Linked DNA regions of Callithrix jacchus. Each later gene encodes a partner of the first gene's protein in a complex. Links are inferred from orthologs where the notes say so. Each region holds a gene or a part of one and is shown in the gene's direction. Other genes may lie near its edges.

Region 1 (3,508 bases):
AACACTGGCCATAGCCACAGAAGAAATTGAAATCTGTTTAAACACAAGTTAGAAAGGACAGTATGACAGAGTGATCTTTTCAAACACCCACAGACATATTACCTTTGAAAAACAGAGACTTGTGACGGTAATGATTAACTGAAACTGAAAAAAACTATTGTCAATCTGTACCCAAAATGCAAATGTACTGATAAAAATATCTAATAAATACACTGATTTTCATTAGGGAAAATAAATTGCCCTGTACAGGTCATCTGCTATTGAAACCAATTTAAGGAGATTATGGTCAATTATGAGGAACAGAAAACATATTTTGTTTATTCCATGGAATAAATGGTGTAAATTTCTGGCAGTGTACACAGCACCAATAAAATTTCACTAAAAGAAGCACATTTATTGAGCTATGTCTATTTTTTAATAACACGATTCATGATTCTTAAGGGTAAGTTAAAGTTGATTTAATATTTGTATTTTTTGGAAATCAGATTATTTGTTTTGTTTACTTCTAAACTTTAGAATCATGGTAAAATTAAAACAATTCTAGCTGATAAAGAGGTGTGTGAGTGTGTATGTGTTATGCATTTTCAATAGCAAATGGAAACATGCGAACATAAGACTTGCAGGTAGAATCTGTAAATGAAATGTAAATACATTTTTAGTTATATACATGAAAAAAAAAGTCTACATGGAGACCATGAATAAGTATTGCTTAGAGAAGGAAAAATAAATGTTTTCGAAAACTTTTTCGTTGTCTCATTTATTTGTGCTCACCCATTCCTCCTGTCTATAAGTAACTGATTTTTCTTTTTAATACAGAACCCAACCACAATTTTTCCTACCAATTCAAATCAAACCTTTTCAACAACAGAGCCGGAGCCATTTCTTTACGTCGTAGGACGAAAGAAGATGATGGATGCACAGTACAAATGCTATGAACGAATGAGGCAGTTACCCCCATACCAAGGAGAAGGTAAAAAGAAAGATATATATGAACATATGCTTGAAATGCCATTAAAGATGTTTTCTTTCATGGTTAAATATGTGTTGAATAATTTTAATTTAATATGCCAGCAGTTTTCACACTGTGGTATGTTTGTGTATTTCATGCAATGGATATGCCTGATTTCTTTGTTCAAGTTTATCTGACTACAGTTTGGCTAACATCTGCCCTCATGATAAAATTACTGCAATAACTCAGTATTCACTCCTGGTGAGCAGGAACAATACAGGACTGACGGAGGGAGGGACACGGAAACTGATAGGAAAGGGAATTGGAAAATAGTGGGCAGAGAACTTGCCTGAGGTGGAACCTATCAAACCCTGTCTTGCTTGGATTAATTAGGGAGTACCTTCCCTTTAACTGTCAATTGGTTGGCAACCCATACTATTCTTCCACCCTTTCTGGCCCCAGTTTCCAGGAGAATTAGAAAAAGATACCTCCTAGCCAGACATTGTTTGTCTACCACGTTTTCTAGAATGGCTCTTTGTGACTGCCCATATATTTTCTGGTCTAAACATATCCTATTAGCTGTAGAGGACCCATAGAAAAAGAAAAGGGGAGACGTGATGGGCAAACTCATTGTAACATCCCTTTAAATTCCCCTGCTTGTGCACTGAGGCATTTGGAAAGAGTCAGTAAGATCTTTTACAATCAAATATTTTCGTTTTTTTCAAGACAGAGTCTCACTCTTTCATCCAGGATGTTCCTCCAACTTTAGCCTACTGGGCAGTTGGGACTACAGGTGCATGATACCTTGCCTGGAAAATTTTTGTAATTTTTTGTAGAGATGGGGTTTTGCCATGTTGTCCATGCTGGTCTCCAACTCCTTGGCTCAAGTGAGCCTCCCAAAGTGCTAGGATTACAGGCCTGAGCCACTGTATCTGGCCTACAACCATGTACATTTTAAGACAACCCAACTTAGTAGGGAAAAAAATGGTTAATATACTGTTACTACACATTCTTTGCTTTCAAATAGTTCAAGTTTTAGTTTGTAGTTCTTATTTTTAGCATTTTTCTTTAAACAAAAACATCAAGTCAACCAAAAGGCAGATACATGTTATTCTTCTGTCTACAGTAGTCTCAGTATTTATCAAGAACTGAACAGGGATTAGATATAACTTTAACCAGAGGAGAAACCATTTCTTTGAAGCCAATGAGACAATAAAAACACAGAACTGATATTTTCTGTTTTCTGAGCATTTTCTTCATTTTTAAAATAATTTTTTTCAAACTTTATTGAAAGCCTGAATCCGATTGTTTTGAATATCTTTGTCGATGTAAATCTTCATGGTTTGGGGTAGTTTTTGTTTTTGCTTTTGAGAGACATGGTCTTGCAATCTTTGGGGTTATTTGCTTTTTTGATAGCTCAACTTTGGAACCTTTTACAAAATAGGAATAGAACCCTGTTTGTCAGTGAGATAATTTGGTCACAGATATGCTATGAATAAAGAATAAATAAAGTTTAGAAACTTTATTTCCAAAATAAATGACTTTGGCTTGTTTGAAATGTAGGTGGCTATGACTGGTGTAGTGAGTTCAACTACATGTAATATTGTCTTGGGATCAATCTCTTTTAGTTACATCCACATGGCTTCAATAATAATTTTCTTCTAAATGGCCAGGTCCATATTGCAATCGCACCTGGGATGGATGGCTGTGCTGGGATGACACACCGGCTGGAGTACTGTCCTATCAGCTCTGCCCAGATTATTTTCCAGATTTTGATCCATCAGGTAGACTGTTTATTTTCATTTTATGTTCTTGCTATAAAGCTTTTAGAGTTTTCATGGTTTTGAAAATAAAATCAGATACAAAATGTACCTACCTATTTATATTCCACATTTTGCAGGTTCTGAGGCATTTCCTTAATTGAAATACTACTTAGTTGTACACATATTACAAGCTGTCCTTTTTTTTAAGTGATATGCTGGTCAGTTGTACATATTGGTATTAAATTCTGGTTTATAAACATAGCTTTTCTAAAACTATGAATATTTTTATTTAAATATGAGTTTTTTTAAATCTTCAATTGTCTCACTGAAAAGGGGGTAGAAATCTTAATTACAAAGGAGACCCGGATGCTGAAACTAAATGGATTAGCTACGGGCACAACATAGAAGTCCCTGTTAATGGGTGAAATTTGTTCACGAGAGTAAAGTGAGCCTGAGCCTACAAGGGTTGTTTAAGTGGCTCTAGAATCCCAATTAAAGAAGACAAATGAGTCTACCCCTGAAAGAATGTTTGAAAGATGCTTTCTGTGCTTCCATCAAGAGTAAAAGATCAAATTTGTCCCTGAAAACAAAATTTTACTTCAGTAAGGCAAGATAATGAAAGTGGTATTGCAGAGGACCACTTTTAAAACCAGTGCAGGCCAGCCATTTCTGGGAACTCCCATTGTGATGGAAAAGTTGGGAAGTGAAGAAAGAAAGAGCCTTGTGCCAGGTCCTAAACCAGCTATATTCCTGGAATCTCTAACTAAATGCTATTTGATGATAATCCTTCAGTCCT
Region 2 (4,142 bases), on another chromosome or scaffold:
TCTCCCCCAGGGTTCTGCAGACCAGGTGACACCCTACCCAGCTGCTCTGTGCCTAAACGTGGCTCAACAGTCTGTCAATCACTGTTGAGACAGACCCGATACGCCCCTAATCACTGTTGAGAAAGACCCGATACGCGCCTGCCGGGTTTTACGTGACCCCTAGCAACAGCTTTTCTCAGGGGCTCAAATCTCTCTGCAGACCCCAGACCAGAACACAGCATGTGCACGCACCAAGGCCACCAGGTGATGTGGGTGTTTACCTTCCGCTGGCTCTGAGCCCACCGCAGCACGGTAGCGGGAGCGCAGCTGCGAGGGCAACCGCCGGGTTTGTGGCTGGATGGCGGGCTCAGTGCTACCTCAGCCGGCTCTTGCAGTGGAAAAGTAAAGGGCTACACTAAGATACCCAGAGCGAGAGGAGAGGGGCTGGAAGGGTGCTGGAGACAGGCTGTAGTGGGGCTAGAGAAGCGGACTGACCGGCTCTGCGGCGGGCGCCTGAAGCTGCGAGCCACGCACCTCAGCTGTGGTTGCCGCGCGGCACGGTGTTTATCAGTGGGTTCAGTGCGCACGGCACAGTCCATTCTCCGAAACCACCCCAAACCGGCCATAAACCGCAACCAAAATCCCCTTTAATCCTTCCCTGGAACAGTAGGACCTGTGAAACTCTGAGACCAATTTGTGGGGTTCCCTTTGAGCAGCACGGGTCCCACCCCTCCATCGGTACCACCGCAGCTACTGCCTAGGGGGCTTTGCTCGCGGCGGTGCGCACCTGAGACCCTCTTATTCCCCTGCGTCACCATCCACATAAACGGCGGAGCACCCTGCCTGCACCGCTATGGGCTACTGTAGAGACCCCTAGAGTGTGATGGGGATGGGGTCTCTTAAAGTGCTTTACCGGAGCCAAACTCAGCGAGCGACAAGCAAAAGCAGCAAAAAGTACACCCAAGGCATTTAAAAAACACATTATGCGCTCGCACACTCGGCATCCCCTCGCCCTCGCCTCTCTCTGCTTCTCTGGTGGGCCCACGACCACCTGTCGCATCCCTGTGCACACCTGCGCCCCCTTCCCAGGCACCAAAAGTCTTGCGCTCTGGACCAGGGACTTGAGATCCAGGGCTGCCTGGAGGCTGGGGGCTATGACTCAGGGGTTCGGGGGTGTCCTGGGGTGATGAAACCCTTCTTCAGTCCCCCTCCCCCGAGGAGTCTGTTGGGTTGGGGAGGGAGGGTTTCAGCTCCTGTACTCCAGCGTCCCGAGGCCCACGTCTTGCGTCACGTGTCCTGCAACGCAGGAGATCTTTCTCTGGACAGGGGAGAAGCGAGGAGAAAGACTCCAAATCAGTCGGAGAGAGGAGTGGAAGGAGCCAAAACATCCCTGCGAGGCCTGCGCTCATCAGCCCCCTTACCCAAAGTCCTGGGCTGCTGGTGCCGGGAGCAGGCTCCTGGAGCCGGAGCCAGCTTGGCACTGGAACCGGCGTCCTCTGGTGGCAGAGAGAGAGCGCTACTGGCGATTTTCGGACCGAATCGGCACGCTCGTCAGATCCAAGCAGGCGGGACTGGCCTGGAGCAGAAAGAAAAAGAGAGGAGGGTATAAGGACAGACCAAGGAAGAGGGGCTGGAGGTGCAGCCTAAGGGGATAAAAAGTGGCCTGGAAGGAACCAAGACTCCACCAGTAACAATTGGGTTGCTTCAGCCTCGGTCTAGGGTTCCAGGCCCTGAACCCCCCAACCTCACAAGGGTTGGAAAGTGAGGCTGGAGAACTTTCCAGCTGGTACTTTGATTTTTTTCTAAAATTTTTTTTTCACCCTAGTTCGGTTGGGTGCTCCGTCCTACGGAGCCCCAAACTTATTTTAAGAAGCCGCCACCGTGTTATGGGCGTGCGCAACTGCCTCGACGGCAATAATATGTCAGGACAACACGATATCTCCCCTGAAATCGGGGAACAGCCCGAGCAACCACCTTTGGAGGCCCCAGGGGCAGCTGCCCCCGGTGCTGGGCCTAGCCCAGCCGAAGAGATGGAGACCGAACCGCCTTACAGCGAGCCCATCCCCCTCGAGAATGACGGCGAGGCCTGTGGAACCCCAGTGGTCTCCAGGCCCAACTTTCAGGTTCTCAGTCCGCCCTTCAAGGAAGCTGGAGCCCATGGAAGCTACAGCCCACCTCCCGAGGAAGCCATGCCCTTCGAGGTCGAACAGCCCAGCTTGGGAGGCTTCTGGCCCACACTGGAGCAGCCTGGATCCCCCAGTGGGGCCCAGACAGGCCTTGAGGCCTTCGGCTCAGCACTCATGGAGCCTGGAGCCTTCGGTGGTGGCAGACCAGGTGTGGGAGGATACAGCCCTCCACCAGAAGAAGCTATGCCCTTTGAATTTGACCAGCCTGCCCAGAGAGGCTGCAGTCAACCTCTCTTACAGGTCCCAGACCTTGCTCCAGGAGGCCCAGGTGCTGCAGGGGTCCCCAGAGCTCCTCCCGAGGAGCCCCAAGCCCTCAAGCCTCCAAAGGCTGGCTCCGGAGGAGGCTATAGCCCTCCCCCTGAGGAGACTATGCCATTTGAGCTTGATGGAGAAGGCTTTGGGGAAGACAGCCCACCCCCGGGGCTTTCCCGAGTCATCGCACAAGTCGACGACGGCGGTGGCCAGTTTGCGGCAGTCGCGGTCTCGAGTGCGGTCCGCCTCACTCCCGCCGCGAATGCGCCTCCCCTCTGGGTCCCAGGAACCATCGGCAGCCCATCCCGAGAGGCTGTCAGACCTCCTAACTTCACCAGCAGCAGCCCCCCGATGGAGATCTCCGGACCCCCACTTGAGATTGGCAGCGCCCCCGCTGGGGTCGACGACGCTCCCGTCAACATGGACAGCCCCCCAATCGCGCTTGACGGCCCGCCCATCAAGGTCTCCGGAGCCCCAGATAAGAGAGAGCGAGCAGAGAGACCCCCAGTTGAGGAGGAAGCAGCCGAGATGGAAGGAGGCACAGCCACCGATGCCACGGAGGGAGGAAAAGTCCCCTCTCCGGGGGACAGATCCCCTGCCGCCGGGGCAGCCTCAGCGGATCCCGCAGCCAGGGCGGCCCCTGCAGCCCCAGCCGATCCCGACTCCCGGGCAGCCCCAGCCGATCCCGACTCCGGGACAGCCCCAGGCAGTCCCGACTCCCGGGAAGCCCCAGCCGATCCCGACTCCGGGACAGCCCCAGCCGATCCCGACTCTGGGGCAGCCCCAGCCGATCCCGACTCTGGGGCAGCCCCTGACGCCCCAGCCGATCCAGATGCCGGGGCAGCCCCTGACGCCCCAGCCGATCCTGACTCCCGGGCAGCCCCTGACGCTCCCGGCGCCCCTGCGGCTGCTGAGACCGGGGCAGCCCCTGTCGCCCCAGCTGCGCCTGACGCTGGGGCCCCAGCTGCCCCAGCCGCTCCTGCCGCCCGGGCAGCCCCAGCAGCCCGGGCAGCCTCTGCAGCCCCTGCCTCCGGGGCCAGACGCAAGCTCCATCTCCTTAGACCCCCCAGCCCCGAAATCCAGGCTGCCGATCCGCCTACTCCACGGCCTACTCGCGCGTCTGCCTGGCGGGGCAAGTCCGAGCGCAGCCGCGGCCGCCACGGGTACTACGATGAAGGGGCGGCCAGCAGCGACGATGACTCCAGCGGAGACGAGTCCGACGATGGGACCTTCGGATGCATCCGCTGGTTTCAGCATCGGCGAAACCGCCGCCGCCGAAAGCCCCGGCGCAACTTACTCCGCAACTTCCTCATGCAAGCCTTCGGGGGCTGCTTCGGTCGATCTGAGAGTCCCCAGCCCAAAGCTTCACGCTCCCCCAAGGTCAAGAAGGTACCCCTGGCGGAGAAACGCAGACAGATGCGCAAAGAAGCCCTGGAGAAGCGGGCCCAGAAGCGTGCAGAGAAGAAACGCAGCAAGCTCATCGACAAGCAACTCCAGGACGAAAAGATGGGCTACATGTGTACGCACCGCCTGCTGCTTCTAGGTAATGCGGCGGACTCTGCCTGTCGGCAGCAGGGCCGCCAGGGAACCGGGGAGGGGGTGGCAGGGCTGCCCGGTGGGACGCGCGGGGCTCGGCAGTGGGAGGAGGGGGTTCAGCCAAAGGCAGGAAGAGCCTGCTAGAAAGTTCCAGGGAGGGACCCTAACTTTGCCCTGGGAGCGGGAGGG
Region 3 (3,965 bases), about 43 Mb from region 1:
GCCTGGGGGGCAGAGAGGTGCCTCTAGCTGAGTCTCAGAAGTTCTGACCAGAGACAATTTTGAAGACACTGTCAAGTGTCCATGGGAGCCGGGGCCTGTGCTAGGGGCTAAGGGTGACAGAGGCGACCCATCTGGCTAAGTGACCTGTGGCTGGAGAAACTGAGGCCCTCCCTCCCCTCAGGGACCCCAACACTCTTCGAGGCCAGGACTTTGGGGGGTGTCAGATAGTCTCCTGCCCCTCGGTTTGCTTGTGGCTTCGTCCTTTGTGTGTGATGTGTCTCTCTGTGTGCAGTTGCCACACCCTTGTCTCTTCTCACACACACTGTCTCCCAGGCTCACAGTCACAAACACACCTCATCTCAGATCTACAAACTCACATATGCCACACACACCATACATCACATACTCCATGCACACACACGCACCTACACATACACCCCACATGCACACCACACTCACAGCCACATACTCCATGAGCGCGCACACACACACACACACACACACACACACACCCCAGCCTCCTTCAGCACTTTTCCTGACCCTTGGAGACCTGGCTTCTAGATGTGTCTCTTCTCAAAGGTCCCCTCCCTGCCCGGAGTGTGGCTTTGTACTCTGGCCTACTTTCGGCCAGGGCACACCCACCCCCAGGTCCACCTTCCTCCAGTCTACCCCCAGTAGCCCCCAGCCCATCATCAGCCCGTGCTTCACCCTCACCTTAGCTCTCTCCCCGGTCTATCCCCACACTCTGTCCCACAGCCTGGACGGAAGTTCCCCAAGTCCCTCCAGCCTGCACCCCAGCCCGCCATCAGTCGGGCCCCACCCTCACCCCAGCTCACCTCCCAGCCTGCCCCTACAGTCTGCCCCCAAAACGCTCCTTTGCAGCTCAGCAACCCTGACCCACTCTCAGAGCCCATCAGCCCGTCCCCTACCTTACCCCAGCTTATCCCCAGCTCGTAACCCAGCCCCCGCCTAGATTCCAGCCCAGACTCCAGCCCTGCTCCGTCCCACCCCGCTGCATCCCACTTCTGAAGGCGTCCGGGCACCGCCAGAGGCGCGCGGCCTGGCGGGGCGCGGCCTGGGGGGCGGACCCCCTGAGGCCCCGCCCCATCCCGCCCCATCCCGGCCTCCCCCCAAGCCGCTCCCCTAGCTGGACCGAGCCTGACCCAGCCGCGGCCGGCCAGCCATGGAGACGCGAGCGCGGTGGCGCCCGCAACTTCTCCCGCTGCTGCTGCTGCTCTGCGGTAAGGGGGCGTCGGCCCGCACCGGGTGCGCCCCCAACCCCCGGGGTCGACAGGACTCGCGTGGACCGGCACCTTCCCGCACCTGCGCCGCGCTCCTTCCCTTGCTCCGGAGCTGGGGAGGCGCGCGCAGTGACCCTGGAGGGGTCCCCAGACTCTGCAGGAGGGTTCTACTCGGGAGGAGCTGGGGGCGAAGGACTCCGGCGGGCAAGGGAGGCACAGGGACTCTTTTGCCGGCGGGGTCAGGCAGCCCCCGCTCCTCCTAGTTGTGATGTCCCTCACACCCCTGTTCTGGGGTGGCCTCAGGGTGGGTGAGCGGGGGCGGACCAGGTCTGGATCCTTTCCCCCATCCCACAAGATGGACTGCGTGTGAGGTAGTGAGCTCCCTGTCCTGGCATTGAGTGCGTGCCCACCACTCACAGGGGCGCGGGCGGGTGGACTCCGGACTGGGTAGCTGGTCACCCCAGCGGAGCCCTTCAGTGTGTGGACACCTGTGTGTGTCCTGGAGCTGGCTGAGAGGGAAAGCTGGGAGACGCTCTCAGCCTTCCTCCGCAAGAAATCAGGACTCTGGGGAGAACTGTTGCTCACAAAATGGGAATAGATTAAACTAAAAGCTTGTTTTGAAGTATCTTAACTAAAGAAATTATCCAAGAAAAAGAAAGGGAGGGAGGGAGGGGGAGAGAGAGAGAGAGAGGGAGAGAGCGAGCGAGAGAGATAGGGGGAGAAAGAGAGAGAGAGAGAGAGAGAGAGAGAGAGAGAGAGAGAGAGAGAGAGTGTGTGTGTGTAAGGGCTGTTGGGGAAGAGCGCTTGCTGAGGGCTGGGCTGGGGTCCGCTAAGCGGTGATTGAGCCTGGCCAATTCTGGGGGGACGTTGGAGATGGAGGGCTCTGGCCTGGTGGTCCCCAGTCTTCCTGGCTGTAAGATGCACAATTGGGCCTGTTTTGATGATTTTGCCTTTGGTAAGGGAGATGGGAAAGGGTGGACCAAACTCAGCAGTCGTTTTCCTTCCATTGAGGAGGTCTTGGTGTGCGGAACCTTAGTGCGTGGCTTCATTTTGTGCCCCAGGGCTGGAGCCTAGGCTGTGGTGGAATTTGTGTTGAAGTGCAAAGGTGCATGCTGATTTGGGATTTCAGCAAGCTTCCAGTGAGAGCCCCTCAGGGGGAGATCTTTGTCCCTACAGTGGAAGGAAGGGCCTCTGAATTCTTTCTGGGAGAAGCTGAGGCTCTCCTGATTGCCTCCAGTATGGAATTGAGCAGGACCACAGACTTCCGCTTGCACAGAACCTCCCCTCTTAACAATCCTGTCTCTTGTGGACCCGGTTCTGAGGGCCACTTCTTTGTCTTGTCATGTTCGCCCTGACTGTCCCCCTCCAATGGGACATGGGTTCCTGCTCCCTGGACAGAATGGAGACCAGGTCCAGCTTCTCAGGAGACCCTCCCAGTGTTCGCCCGGCTAGAGAGATTCAGAGAGAGCTAAAACTTGCTCATGGTCACTGGCTGATGTCAGAGGTGGGATTGGAGTTCACATCTGCCCTGGATGCTGCTGTACCTGGAAGAAGGAGCAGGTTGTGTTCCTCTTGAGTGAGGACTGGCTCTGGCAGGCCAGCAGGGAGGGTGCTGGCCTCTGGGGCTTCTTTGAGAATTCCAAGCCTTTTCCCAGAAAGCATTTGATGCTGTGGGGCCATAGGGGTGTGAAGTCCAGCAGGTGGCTACTCAGCAGGGAGCTTTGCTGTGGTGCCCAGCCCTTGACTGGACTCTTCTGGTCTGGGTGAAAATCCTGATCGTGATCCCAAGATTCTAAGGCACTCACTGGCCCTTAGCCTCAGTTTCCCAACTGCAATGTAGATATAATAATAGCAACCTGTAGAGGGCGCTGAGACCGTCAGTTTGATTCCGTTCAGTTTCTTCCCTGTTGCCTTGTGCTGGGCATCATGAGATTGTGGGGGCGGGGGGGAGGGTTCATGCTTAAACAAGGGGAGGGATGGGAAGGCACCCACCAGTAACCGCAGTGGGTCTCATGAGGCTTACTCACAGCACCCCAAGATGGAGCACCGTAGTGTGTGTGTGTGCCTGTGTGTGCAAGTGTGTGAACATGGTACCACCTTTGTTATCATGAGTGAAAGTAATGATGTCCTGCTACCCTGTTACCTGTGGTCACACCGATTCTGCTGAATCAAGTGGGCCCACGGGCCGTGGTTGGATAGCAGTAACTCTGGTGAAGTAAAGACTTGAAGGTCAGCCGGGCGCCGTGGCTCATACCTGTAATCCCAGCACTTTGGGAGGCCAAGGCGGGTGGCTCACGAGGTCAGGAGTTCGAGACCAGCCTAGCCAACATGGTGAAACTCTGTCTCTACTAAAAGTATAAAAATTAGCTGGGCGTGGTGGTGGCCATCTGTAATCCCAGCTACTTGGGAGGCCGAGGCAGGAGAATTGCTTGAACCTGGGAGGCAGAGGTTGCAATGAGCAGAGATTATGCCATTGCACTCCAGCCTGGGCAACAAGAGCAAGACTCTGTCTCAAAAAAAAAAGACTTGAAGGTGGTGATTGACCAAGAAGAGGCCCATAGAGTTTTCGTGCTGGAGGTGTCTTGGAGGTTATGTGACCTTACTCTTCATGCTGTGGGTAAGGAAACAGAAGTCTGGAGGGTACAGAAGGAGTTGCCCAGCCACAGAGACCGCAGAACCGCCCAGAATCCACAGCCTCCCAAGGTCAACTGACCATGGCCCACT
Region 4 (3,807 bases), on another chromosome or scaffold:
CAGGAGGACTTTGGAGTTCATGTCAAGCAGGCCATTGACCCTCTCCCACTGGATTCCTTACAAAAGCAGCCTCTTGACCACAGAGGAGGACAGCATGTTATCCATGCTCTTGATCCAAGAGTCTGAGACCCTGAGATGAAGACGTCAAGAAAGACCATGATGGATAATTTGTGATGGACAGGAATCAGAAACTGGGACAACAGCAGCAGCTGAGTCCAGGGGTCAGTGTCTGGGAGTAATTTAGGAAAGTTTGGTGCTGACAGCTGTGTCTGGGACTTGAACGTCATGGCCAAACCAGCTCCTGGGCTCCTCAGCTGCTTCAGGCTAATGAACCTCTGGCCCAGGACACAAGCCGCAGCTGTGGTGTGGCTGAAGTCAGGGCCCCTGGAGGCCCAGGCTCGGCCTTGCTGCTTCCTTAGTAGTGTCAGTTAGACAAGTGGCTTAGGAAAAGAGGAAAGGAAACTAACATTCAGTGAGCGCACTGCCCTTTCTCAGCTGCCATCCTCACTGGTGAGGAGCGGAATGTTCCTATTTTATGTAAGCCCTGAAGGTAAACGCGTCATGCAAGCTCTATGACTGGGAAGGAGGAAGACAGAATTAGAACCCAGAGCTTCTGAATTCAAATCCCGGGCTGCTGGCCCCGAACTTTAGCGTTTCTGTAAAATGGTGACAGTAATACACTCACCCCGCACATGAAGTCCCACATTGAAGGTTCTAAACCCTTTCCTCCTTTCTCCCAACCTTGGTCCTGAAGAGCTGCGGCACCTCCTTCCCAGGAATGTAGTCATCGTATTTTGCCTCCCAACAGGTTTGTGGGGTCTGGGCCCCAGGAGGTGTCTTGAAGGGAGGGTATCAGGACTTCTGTTTTCCCTCTACCCCACTCCCCAGATCTTCTCCCGACTCTGGAGGGCCGACTCCCGCTTCTCCCTGGTTGTGACTGGCGGGCTGACAACAGCGGGTGTTCCCAGGGATAGATAAGGAACCCTAAGCTGGCCGGCCCAGCTCCAGGAGCCCCTTCCCCCACAGCCCAGGGCAGCCCCTTAGGTGCAGCGGCGTCGAGAGGCCGCTGGAGCTCCCAGCCCCTCCCTCTTCTCCGGGTCTGAGAGAGCAGCTCGCCGACCCCTCCAGCCCGGAAAGAGAGGGGGCGACTCGAGTCCGGGAGCGGCTCCTTGGAGACCCCGGAGAGTCCTGCGCGCCGCGCGGCCGAGCCCCAGAAATAGATCCCGGTTCCGGGGTTCCGGGAGCTGTCCAGCCCCGCGGGGTGAACTGCGAGAGAGTGTGGGCCAACGCCGGCAAGGCGGAGGGAGCCGCGGGCGCCCGGCGCGGGTGCGGCGGCTACTCCCCCTCCAGCAGCGGGCCCCGGGCGTCGCCCCCGCCCCCCACGTGGCCGCCGCCGTCCCAGCCCCTCCGAGGAAGCGGCGCGGCTTCCTGCGGCTCGGGCCGGGGATATAGGCGCCCCCACACCCGGGCCAGGCTCAGCGCCGCCGCAGCTCCCTCGCCTCCTTGCTGCACGATGGCCTCGCTCCGAGCGGAGCGCGCCGGCGACCCCCGGCTCCCGACGACCCGCGCTGGGCGGCCGGCAGCGCTCCGCCTCCTCCTCCTACTGGGCGGTGAGCGCGGCGCCGCGAGGCCCGGGCGGGAAGCGTAGGAGGCCCCGGAGGGGAGATGGGAGAGGGGCTGGATGGGCGAGGCGGGAATGGGCCCCGGGGTTTGGGCGCGGACCGACGGACAGAGCAGCACTGGCCTTCGGACGGTCCCTGACCTCACCTCGGGGCGGGCATAGCTCAAGCTGCTTCCCACCGGGGAAAGCTGGAGTGCGGGCCCCGGCTCCGCGGAGAGGGCAAGGGAGGCTGGGAGCTGGCCAGAGGGGAGGGGGCTTTGGGCCTGGGTGTGAGTGACAAGGAGCTGGTGCCAGGCCCTCCCTCCCCAGCTGGGATGTCCATGGGGTCTAGATTATTCCTCTTTTTCTTCCATGGTAGCCCTGCTTTCAGAGGGTCTCAGTCCCCCGCCCCCCCCGCAGACCCCACTTCTGGGGTCCCCGCTATGCCACCCTCCTCTCCTGCTTCTCCCCACAGCTGTCCTGAAGCCCCAGGAGACCCTGGCTCAGCCTCTTCCCACCACAGGCACACCGGGGTCAGAAGGTGGGTACCCAGGATGTGGAAGGGTAGCCGAGGGCAAGGACGAGAGCAAATTCAGTGGGGAGAGTCCCTTTCCCACGAGGCCCGCACAAGGCCCGCACAAGGCCCGCACAACCCCAACTGATGGCCCACTAAACTCCCCTCTGTTCTTTCTTGGGGTTCCTTGTGGTCTTTCTCCCTGTCTTCCCACAAAGTCCCTGCACAGCTCTGAACTGGCCCACCTCACAGGTGGGTGAGAAGACCCCAGGAAAAGGTGTACGTGGAACTTCTTATCAGGCTGGGATGGAAAGTGCTTAGCACAGGGAAGTCGTTACAGGATTCCTGAGCTGGGACTCTCCTCAGCCAGAACTTCTTGCTAGGGAAACTTTCTGAAGGGTTCGCACCCCCCCCCCCCCCCCCGTTTGAAGGCAGGCACCTGGGCAGGAGGGTTTGGAAGGAGGGGCAGGGCTGTGGTCATTGTGCAGCATCTGTACCTACAGTGAAGATGATGGAGAACTATGAGGCAGCTGTCCAACTTTGCTGGAATTATTACAAGTATCAAATGGATCCTATCGAAAAGGATTGGTGCGACTGGGCTGTGATTAGCAGGTAGGGGCGGTGCTGGAGGGTGGCTCAGGCCCGGGGTTGGGCCTGCTTATTGCAGGTAGACCTTGAGTGAGTGTGGGGCACTTCTCTCCCTGGGTCCACCCCCTCACTCACTCAAGTCCTCTCCTGCCTCTAGGCCTTATAGCACCCTGCGAGATTGCTTGGAGCACTCTGCGGAGGAGTTTAACCTGGGCTTCCCCAATCCCTTGGCAGAGAGGATCATCTTTGAGACTCACCAGATCCACTTTGCCAACTGCTCCCTGGTGCAGCCAACTTTCTCAGACCCCCCAGAGGATGTACTCCTGGCCATGATCATAGCCCCCATCTGCCTCATCCCCTTCCTCATCACTCTTGTAGTATGGAGGAGTAAAGACAGTGAGGCCCAGGTTTAGGGGGCCACAAGCTTCTCAACAACCATCTGACTCTGCTTCCCTACCCCCACAGGGCCTCCCTCCTCCCCTTCTCCCTTCTGTCACTCTCGCTCCCACCACAGATCCCTGGATTGCTGGAAGTGGAGGCCGGGTGGGGTCATGGCACAAGTTCTGTAATCTTCAAAATAAAACCTTTTTTTGTACAATGTCCTTCTCCTCATTTCAGTGGGACCTGTGTCGTTCCCTGCCACTCCCACAGGCTCTCAGCTCTGGGTAGCAGAAGCGGAAAAATCTGGATGGCCCAGATTCAGAAAAATTTGAATTCTGTTAATTTCACCTGCCCCCCTGCTCTCAACCTCCATGAAGGTCACACCCCTATATTCTTTCCTTCCAGGGGGGCCTTTCCTGCCCTTATCCAAACTCAGTTCCAGGAAACAAGCAGGAAGAGACTCCCTTCCGGTCTGGACAGCAGCTGGGGGCCTGCGACTGGGGAGGTGTGGGGGAAGGGGCAAGGGAGGAATCTCTGCTTGTGACTCTGCAAGAGGGACAGGAGGCTGCCCAAGGGGCCCTGACTGTTCCCTTCTTCATGCCTCAGTTTACTCCCAGGGCCTGGGAAGAGGAACCCTGGCTGAGCAACAGGAATCCATTCCTAAGGACCTCACAATTAAGGGCAAAAGCAGTAGGGGCTTCCTCTACTAGGTTCACCACTCCCC
Region 5 (4,212 bases), on another chromosome or scaffold:
AGTTTTAGAGGTTACCCCCTAGATTCACCAACTGAAGGGCAGGGCTTGTTGATGTAACACTGTCTTGCATGTAGGGACACAAATGTCTGTTAAATGAAGAAAGTAGGGAGACCGGGCCACCTAATGGGGTATATCTCCTAGGGTTCAAGAGGGGCTAATCAAGAGAGAGTGTGCCCTCCCCCACCATCTCACCCAGACCCCTCACTCTCAGAACTCTTGGGGCCCCGCGCAGTGGGGGAGAAGGCATGCTGGCCCCGAGGGCCCTCCTAGCCTGTGTTAGAAGAGCTGGTGGATGGCCTCCCTGTCAGCTGTCTCCCCTTCTCTGAGCTTACAGCAGATGGCAGCAGCCGCTCAGCCACTGACTGCTGAGGAACTGTTGGTCACTCAGCAGTGCCGTGTGACTGCAACTTCCACAAGAGAGACAGCTGTGGCCACAACGCTAGGGTGGTGATCCGTCCCCCTCCAGAGGCGGTGCATTCTTTAGCATGAGTATAAATTTACTATTGCTAAGAGTTCTCAGAACAGGTTATTGCAAGAAGGAACCCACTGCAAGGTGAAATCCAGCCACTAGTAATGCCCTTAGAGCCCAGGTCAGGCCTGTGCCTTCCAGAACTTACCCCTCCCCAGGCTTTCCCAGACCATCTCCAGAGCGCCCTCCTCTCACCGCTTTAGATAAAGGAATGCACCCAAGATCCCCCATCAGTTCTCCATGCAGCTGCCAGAGTGACGGTCCCCAAAGCAAACCTCGTCTCTAAGGACTCTCTGCCCAGACCCTCACAAACCTCCTGCCAGGCGCTCGCTACCCATCAACAGCGAGACCCCCAGGCCATCTCAATCTCCCCAAAGAGCCCCGTTCCCTCCAGCCCCCGGCCTCTTCCCACCCACTCATCCTGCAGATCTGGAGCAGCATTCCAGGGCCTGGGAGTGTGCGCCATCTTGGGTTATTAGGGGTCTTCCCCAGGCGCCTGGCGGGGAAGCGGGGGGGAGGTGACGCCAACGCTCCCCAGCGCCTGCACCTGGGAGGAGAGGTAAACGCGGTGGGGAGATCTCAGCCTGTTTGCAAAGCAAACCCCAGGCAGGAGAACCTCGGAGGAGGAGGAGGGGAAGATGCCCAGGTGGAGACCAAGGTGCCGCTCCCTCGGAGTCGCCTAGGAGACCCTCCCTAGTTTAAAAAGTGAGAACATTTCAGAAGGCCTCACTCGAAGTCCAAGTGTGCCGTCCCCCCCGGAGACGCCCGCGCGACTCCCCTGCAAAGTTTTCCCGGCCTCGCGCGCCCCCGGCCCTGGCACCCACCTGGGGAGCCACAGTGGGCCGGGCCACGCGGCCGCCGCCTCCCACCCCTCCCGCGCCCGCGCCCGCCCCCGCCCCCGGCACGTCTCCTCCGGGCGGGCGCCGCGGCGGGCTCAGTCCTCGGCGGGGCGCGTGGTGGGTGGACTGGGCTCCGCTGTGCACCATGGCCCGGGCCCTGTGCCGCCTCCCGCGGCGCTGCCTCTGGCTGCTCCTGGGTGAGTAGGGTCGGGGATCCGGGTCGAACTCTCTTCCCCCGGCCCGCCGGCGTCCTCTAGGGGAGGGGAGGAGAGGGAGGGCGCAGCGGTCCGCTGCCGTTGAACCTGGGCAGCCCGGGTTCCAGGCGGGAGGCCCCAGGGCACCGGGAATCAGAGGGTGCGGACCGGAGTTGCGCCTCTTGCCGCGGAAGGGACGGCTTTGGGGAAGTCGGAGAGCCGGCGTTCTGAAAGGCGTGGGGCGTCAGCTGCGCGCACCGGAGAACTTGTTTCCGGGAGAGAAACAGGACGCGGGGTTCCCCAGCCCCGCACCTCGGTTTCCCAGGCTGTGCGCCGCGGTGACCGCCAGCGCAGGCTCCCCTCCCTAGGCAGTCCCGCGTGGCAAAACCTGCAGGCAGGCGCCTCGCAGAGGACTCGGTGTGCGGGAGTCGGAGCCACTGACCGTTCGTCTGGAGATGAGTCAACACTGATCTCTCGCAGACAGAGCAGTCGCTTGTTTGCTAATGATGCCTTTTGCAGAAATAAGGCCCTCCCTTCTCGAGGCATTTCCATCGCTTTTTTTTTTTTCTTTTTTCTTTTGGTTTGCTTGTTAACTTGGCACTTCCGGCTAATAGAAATTTAGAGGACGGGACCCTTGGTGAAGTGGTGGAACGCGCTCGGCTTTCCACCTGCGGGAAGAGTGGAGATTATCAACTACCCGGTGGCCACAGGAACTGGCCACACACTCAGCAAGGCACGGCCCCGCTCACTGCCCCCATCTGCAGTGCGCTCCCAACATGCTGACTCAAGCCCCTTCTACACTGGTTGTTGCGTTCCGTGTATTTAGCTACCTTTCAACGGAAACCGAATAATAGATTACTGGCGTGGGAGAAAACCCAGTGCCCCTGGGAAGGCCAGAGCAGTTGTTTCTAGTATATGTGGCCTTTTCCCAGAAACAGTGATGTTGGTCAGAGGCACCTGCCGCACAAGTCCCCTTGGCCTGTCACTGGCACTGGGCAAGCAGTGACCGCCAGCGCTGTTTCTGTAGCTGGGGGAGCAGTTCGTGGCCCGGCGAGGAGAGGGGCCCGAGCTTCTTGGGAGCCATGGATTTCTGGTCCCTGTTTGTAAACCTCTCCAAGGAGTGGCAGATCGGCATGGAATCCTCCGAGGCCAACATAATATTATCTGAAAGCGAATCTTGCCACTCGAGTGTTTTGGCTGAAGTTAAGTGGAAAGCCACATCTCAGCGGAATCTTCCCTCCTCTTGTGTTCGGATCCATTTGGCTTGACGTGACCTTCACTGTTTTCGTTTCCTAAGAGACAAACATTTCTTTGTTAGCAAGGCAGAGAGCTGGGCTGTGGAATATTTTTCACATAAATAACCAAATAAATAAATGTTCTTTACTAGTGTCCAGAGACTGCACCCTCTAAGGCTTGTGTAAATAAAACGCTATGTCACGATCACATATACAGACCTTCCTTGTTTACCAAGAAAACTATTCATGTTCTGCTGGAAGTCCAAAGTCCTGTAATTTTAACATCATTTTGAGTGGCCTGGCTAATGTTATATCTTGGAAGGTTATGAGGTTATCGGTAAATTAATGTCATTTGGAGACCAGCTGTAATTCGTGGAATTACTGAGCACAGGCTGTTTCCTTCACAGGCTCTAGCACTAGCCAGATCTCCTTGGTGATGAAGATTCTGCTACCCAGAATGGCAACGTGGAATTTTTTTTTTTTTAAGAACGCTAGTGTGCAGGTTTAAGAACTTATCTGTGACAATTTTACAATCAAGCTATTTGTCTTAGGTAGTTATTGAGATTCTCCCAGCCATGGGAGAATCTCAGTTCACAGTTCACCCAGCCATGATGGCTCACACCTGTAATCCCAGCACTTCGTGAGGCTGAGGTGGGTGGATCACCTGAGGTCAGGAGTTCAAGACCAGCCTGGCCTACATGGCAAAACCTGACTCTACTAAAAATACAAAAAAATTAGCCAGGCATGGGGTGGTGGGCACCTGTAATACCAACTACTCAAGAGGCTGAGGCAGAATTGCTTGAACTTGGGAGGGCAGAGGTGGCAGTGAGCTGAGGTCATGCCGCTGCACTGCAGCCTGGGTGAGAAGAGTGAAAACTCCGTCTCAAAAAAACAAAAAAACAAACCTTAGGATCCATATGTAGTTCTTTTCCCTCCGAGCATCCTATGCACTGTTCTGTTTGCTGGAGACTAACGTAACCACATGCATTTTGAAAGGTTTGTGTAGAGACACCAAAAAGCTGTTTGCTAATCAGGAAGGAAGAATGCATGGCAGCCCTGGTTTCGAGTCCAGCTGCACTCAGGGAGTGCCGGCTGGTGCTGTCACACAGGAACTCAGTCATCTGTCCTGGGAAACGCTTGCCTGCCTTGGCTGTCATGTGGAAGGTGCGTTTTTGTTTTTTTTTTTAATGGCTGCGACATTAATTGAAATATATGACTCTATAAATAGAAGTAGAATTGGAAATGACGGGACACCGTAGGAAGTGCTGTGTGACTGCTTCAGATCGCCACGTGGTTTTAAATCCGGACGCAGTTCTCATGCCGGAGTCCAAATCTGAAGCATTCTCATTTGCTAATCAGTGTGTTTGTTTACCCTCTCTGTGTGTTCAGCTGCAGGAAGAAATGTCTGGATTTGTGTCTTCCTTTCACAGACGCCTTGCCAGTCCGAGGCCAGGGCTATTGAGAAATGTTTATAT

The links.
Region 2: the proteins of CALCR (region 1) and guanine nucleotide-binding protein G(s) subunit alpha isoforms XLas are in contact, whole or in part, in a cryo-EM structure (PDB 7TYY), measured with the Homo sapiens proteins. The link is inferred for Callithrix jacchus from reciprocal best matches to the Homo sapiens genes CALCR and GNAS. Residues at the interface, in NP_001158210.1 of Homo sapiens: Arg180, His184, Glu240, Tyr243, Leu244, Leu247, Ile248, Val249, Val250, Ala251, Val252, Phe253, Glu255, Lys256, Ile319, Val322, Leu323, Lys326, Met327, Glu329, Thr330, Lys340, Lys343, Ala344, Ile347, Leu348, Leu351, Tyr391, Asn395, Asn396; in NP_000507.1 of Homo sapiens: Lys34, Gln35, Arg38, Ala39, His41, Val217, Phe219, Tyr358, Phe376, Cys379, Arg380, Asp381, Ile383, Gln384, Arg385, His387, Leu388, Gln390, Tyr391, Glu392, Leu393, Leu394.
Region 3: the proteins of CALCR (region 1) and RAMP3 are in contact, whole or in part, in a cryo-EM structure (PDB 8F0K), measured with the Homo sapiens proteins. The link is inferred for Callithrix jacchus from reciprocal best matches to the Homo sapiens genes CALCR and RAMP3. Residues at the interface, in NP_001158210.1 of Homo sapiens: Arg45, Lys46, Met49, Asp50, Gln52, Tyr53, Lys54, Tyr56, Asp57, Met59, Gln60, Arg74, Thr75, Trp76, Asp77, Gly78, Asn124, Arg126, Phe235, Leu238, Ile242, Thr246, Gln257, Arg258, Trp261, Tyr262, Leu264, Leu265, Phe269, Ile276; in NP_005847.1 of Homo sapiens: Cys57, Leu59, Ile63, Tyr66, Glu67, Thr70, Tyr83, Trp84, Pro85, Gln90, Ile93, Thr94, His97, Arg98, Phe101, Ser102, Cys104, Val106, His110, Leu111, Glu112, Asp113, Pro114, Val118, Leu119, Leu122, Ile123, Pro126, Val127, Leu129.
Region 4: the proteins of CALCR (region 1) and RAMP2 are in contact, whole or in part, in a cryo-EM structure (PDB 7TYX), measured with the Homo sapiens proteins. The link is inferred for Callithrix jacchus from reciprocal best matches to the Homo sapiens genes CALCR and RAMP2. Residues at the interface, in NP_001158210.1 of Homo sapiens: Arg45, Lys46, Met48, Met49, Asp50, Gln52, Tyr53, Lys54, Tyr56, Asp57, Met59, Gln60, Trp76, Gly78, Arg126, Phe235, Leu238, Ile242, Thr246, Val250, Glu255, Lys256, Gln257, Arg258, Trp261, Tyr262, Leu264, Leu265, Phe269, Pro273; in NP_005845.2 of Homo sapiens: Trp86, Tyr93, Ser94, Arg97, Asp98, Glu101, Leu109, Pro112, Glu117, Ile120, Phe121, His124, Phe128, Cys131, Pro136, Phe138, Ser139, Asp140, Pro141, Leu146, Met149, Ile150, Pro153, Ile154, Leu156, Ile157, Leu160, Ile161, Leu163, Val164.
Region 5: the proteins of CALCR (region 1) and RAMP1 are in contact, whole or in part, in a cryo-EM structure (PDB 9AUC), measured with the Homo sapiens proteins. The link is inferred for Callithrix jacchus from reciprocal best matches to the Homo sapiens genes CALCR and RAMP1. Residues at the interface, in NP_001158210.1 of Homo sapiens: Arg45, Lys46, Met49, Asp50, Gln52, Tyr53, Tyr56, Asp57, Met59, Gln60, Gln61, Thr75, Trp76, Asp77, Gly78, Asn124, Arg126, Phe235, Leu238, Ile242, Thr246, Val250, Ala251, Gln257, Arg258, Trp261, Tyr262, Leu265, Phe269, Ile276; in NP_005846.1 of Homo sapiens: Trp59, Ile63, Tyr66, Arg67, Ala70, Asp71, Phe83, Trp84, Pro85, Val89, Asp90, Phe93, Leu94, His97, Gly98, Phe101, Ser103, Arg109, Ala110, Val111, Arg112, Asp113, Pro114, Ile118, Leu119, Phe122, Ile123, Pro126, Ile127, Val129.

Annotation. Positions count from the first base shown.
Region 1 is NC_133512.1:56,118,417-56,121,924, forward strand, and holds part of CALCR (calcitonin receptor), read left to right. Parts: intron 1-816; coding exon 817-970; intron 971-2,622; coding exon 2,623-2,733; intron 2,734-3,508. UniProt on the Homo sapiens protein: G protein-coupled receptor activated by ligand peptides amylin (IAPP), calcitonin (CT/CALCA) and calcitonin gene-related peptide type 1 (CGRP1/CALCA).
Region 2 is NC_133506.1:54,421,116-54,425,257, forward strand, and holds the start of guanine nucleotide-binding protein G(s) subunit alpha isoforms XLas, read left to right. Parts: upstream 1-1,334; 5' UTR 1,335-1,865; coding exon 1,866-3,960; intron 3,961-4,142. UniProt on the Homo sapiens protein: Guanine nucleotide-binding proteins (G proteins) function as transducers in numerous signaling pathways controlled by G protein-coupled receptors (GPCRs).
Region 3 is NC_133512.1:13,219,859-13,223,823, forward strand, and holds the start of RAMP3 (receptor activity-modifying protein 3), read left to right. Parts: upstream 1-1,160; 5' UTR 1,161-1,183; coding exon 1,184-1,241; intron 1,242-3,965. UniProt on the Homo sapiens protein: Accessory protein that interacts with and modulates the function of G-protein coupled receptors including calcitonin gene-related peptide type 1 receptor (CALCRL), calcitonin receptor (CALCR) and G-protein coupled estrogen receptor 1 (GPER1).
Region 4 is NC_133506.1:121,132,022-121,135,828, reverse strand, and holds RAMP2 (receptor activity-modifying protein 2), read left to right. Parts: upstream 1-1,477; 5' UTR 1,478-1,513; coding exon 1,514-1,610; intron 1,611-2,075; coding exon 2,076-2,141; intron 2,142-2,617; coding exon 2,618-2,726; intron 2,727-2,859; coding exon 2,860-3,115; 3' UTR 3,116-3,300; downstream 3,301-3,807. UniProt on the Homo sapiens protein: Accessory protein that interacts with and modulates the function of G-protein coupled receptors including calcitonin gene-related peptide type 1 receptor (CALCRL) and calcitonin receptor (CALCR). Required for the transport of CALCRL to the plasma membrane.
Region 5 is NC_133507.1:159,154,840-159,159,051, forward strand, and holds the start of RAMP1 (receptor activity-modifying protein 1), read left to right. Parts: upstream 1-1,405; 5' UTR 1,406-1,453; coding exon 1,454-1,505; intron 1,506-4,212. UniProt on the Homo sapiens protein: Accessory protein that interacts with and modulates the function of G-protein coupled receptors including calcitonin gene-related peptide type 1 receptor (CALCRL) and calcitonin receptor (CALCR). Required for the transport of CALCRL to the plasma membrane.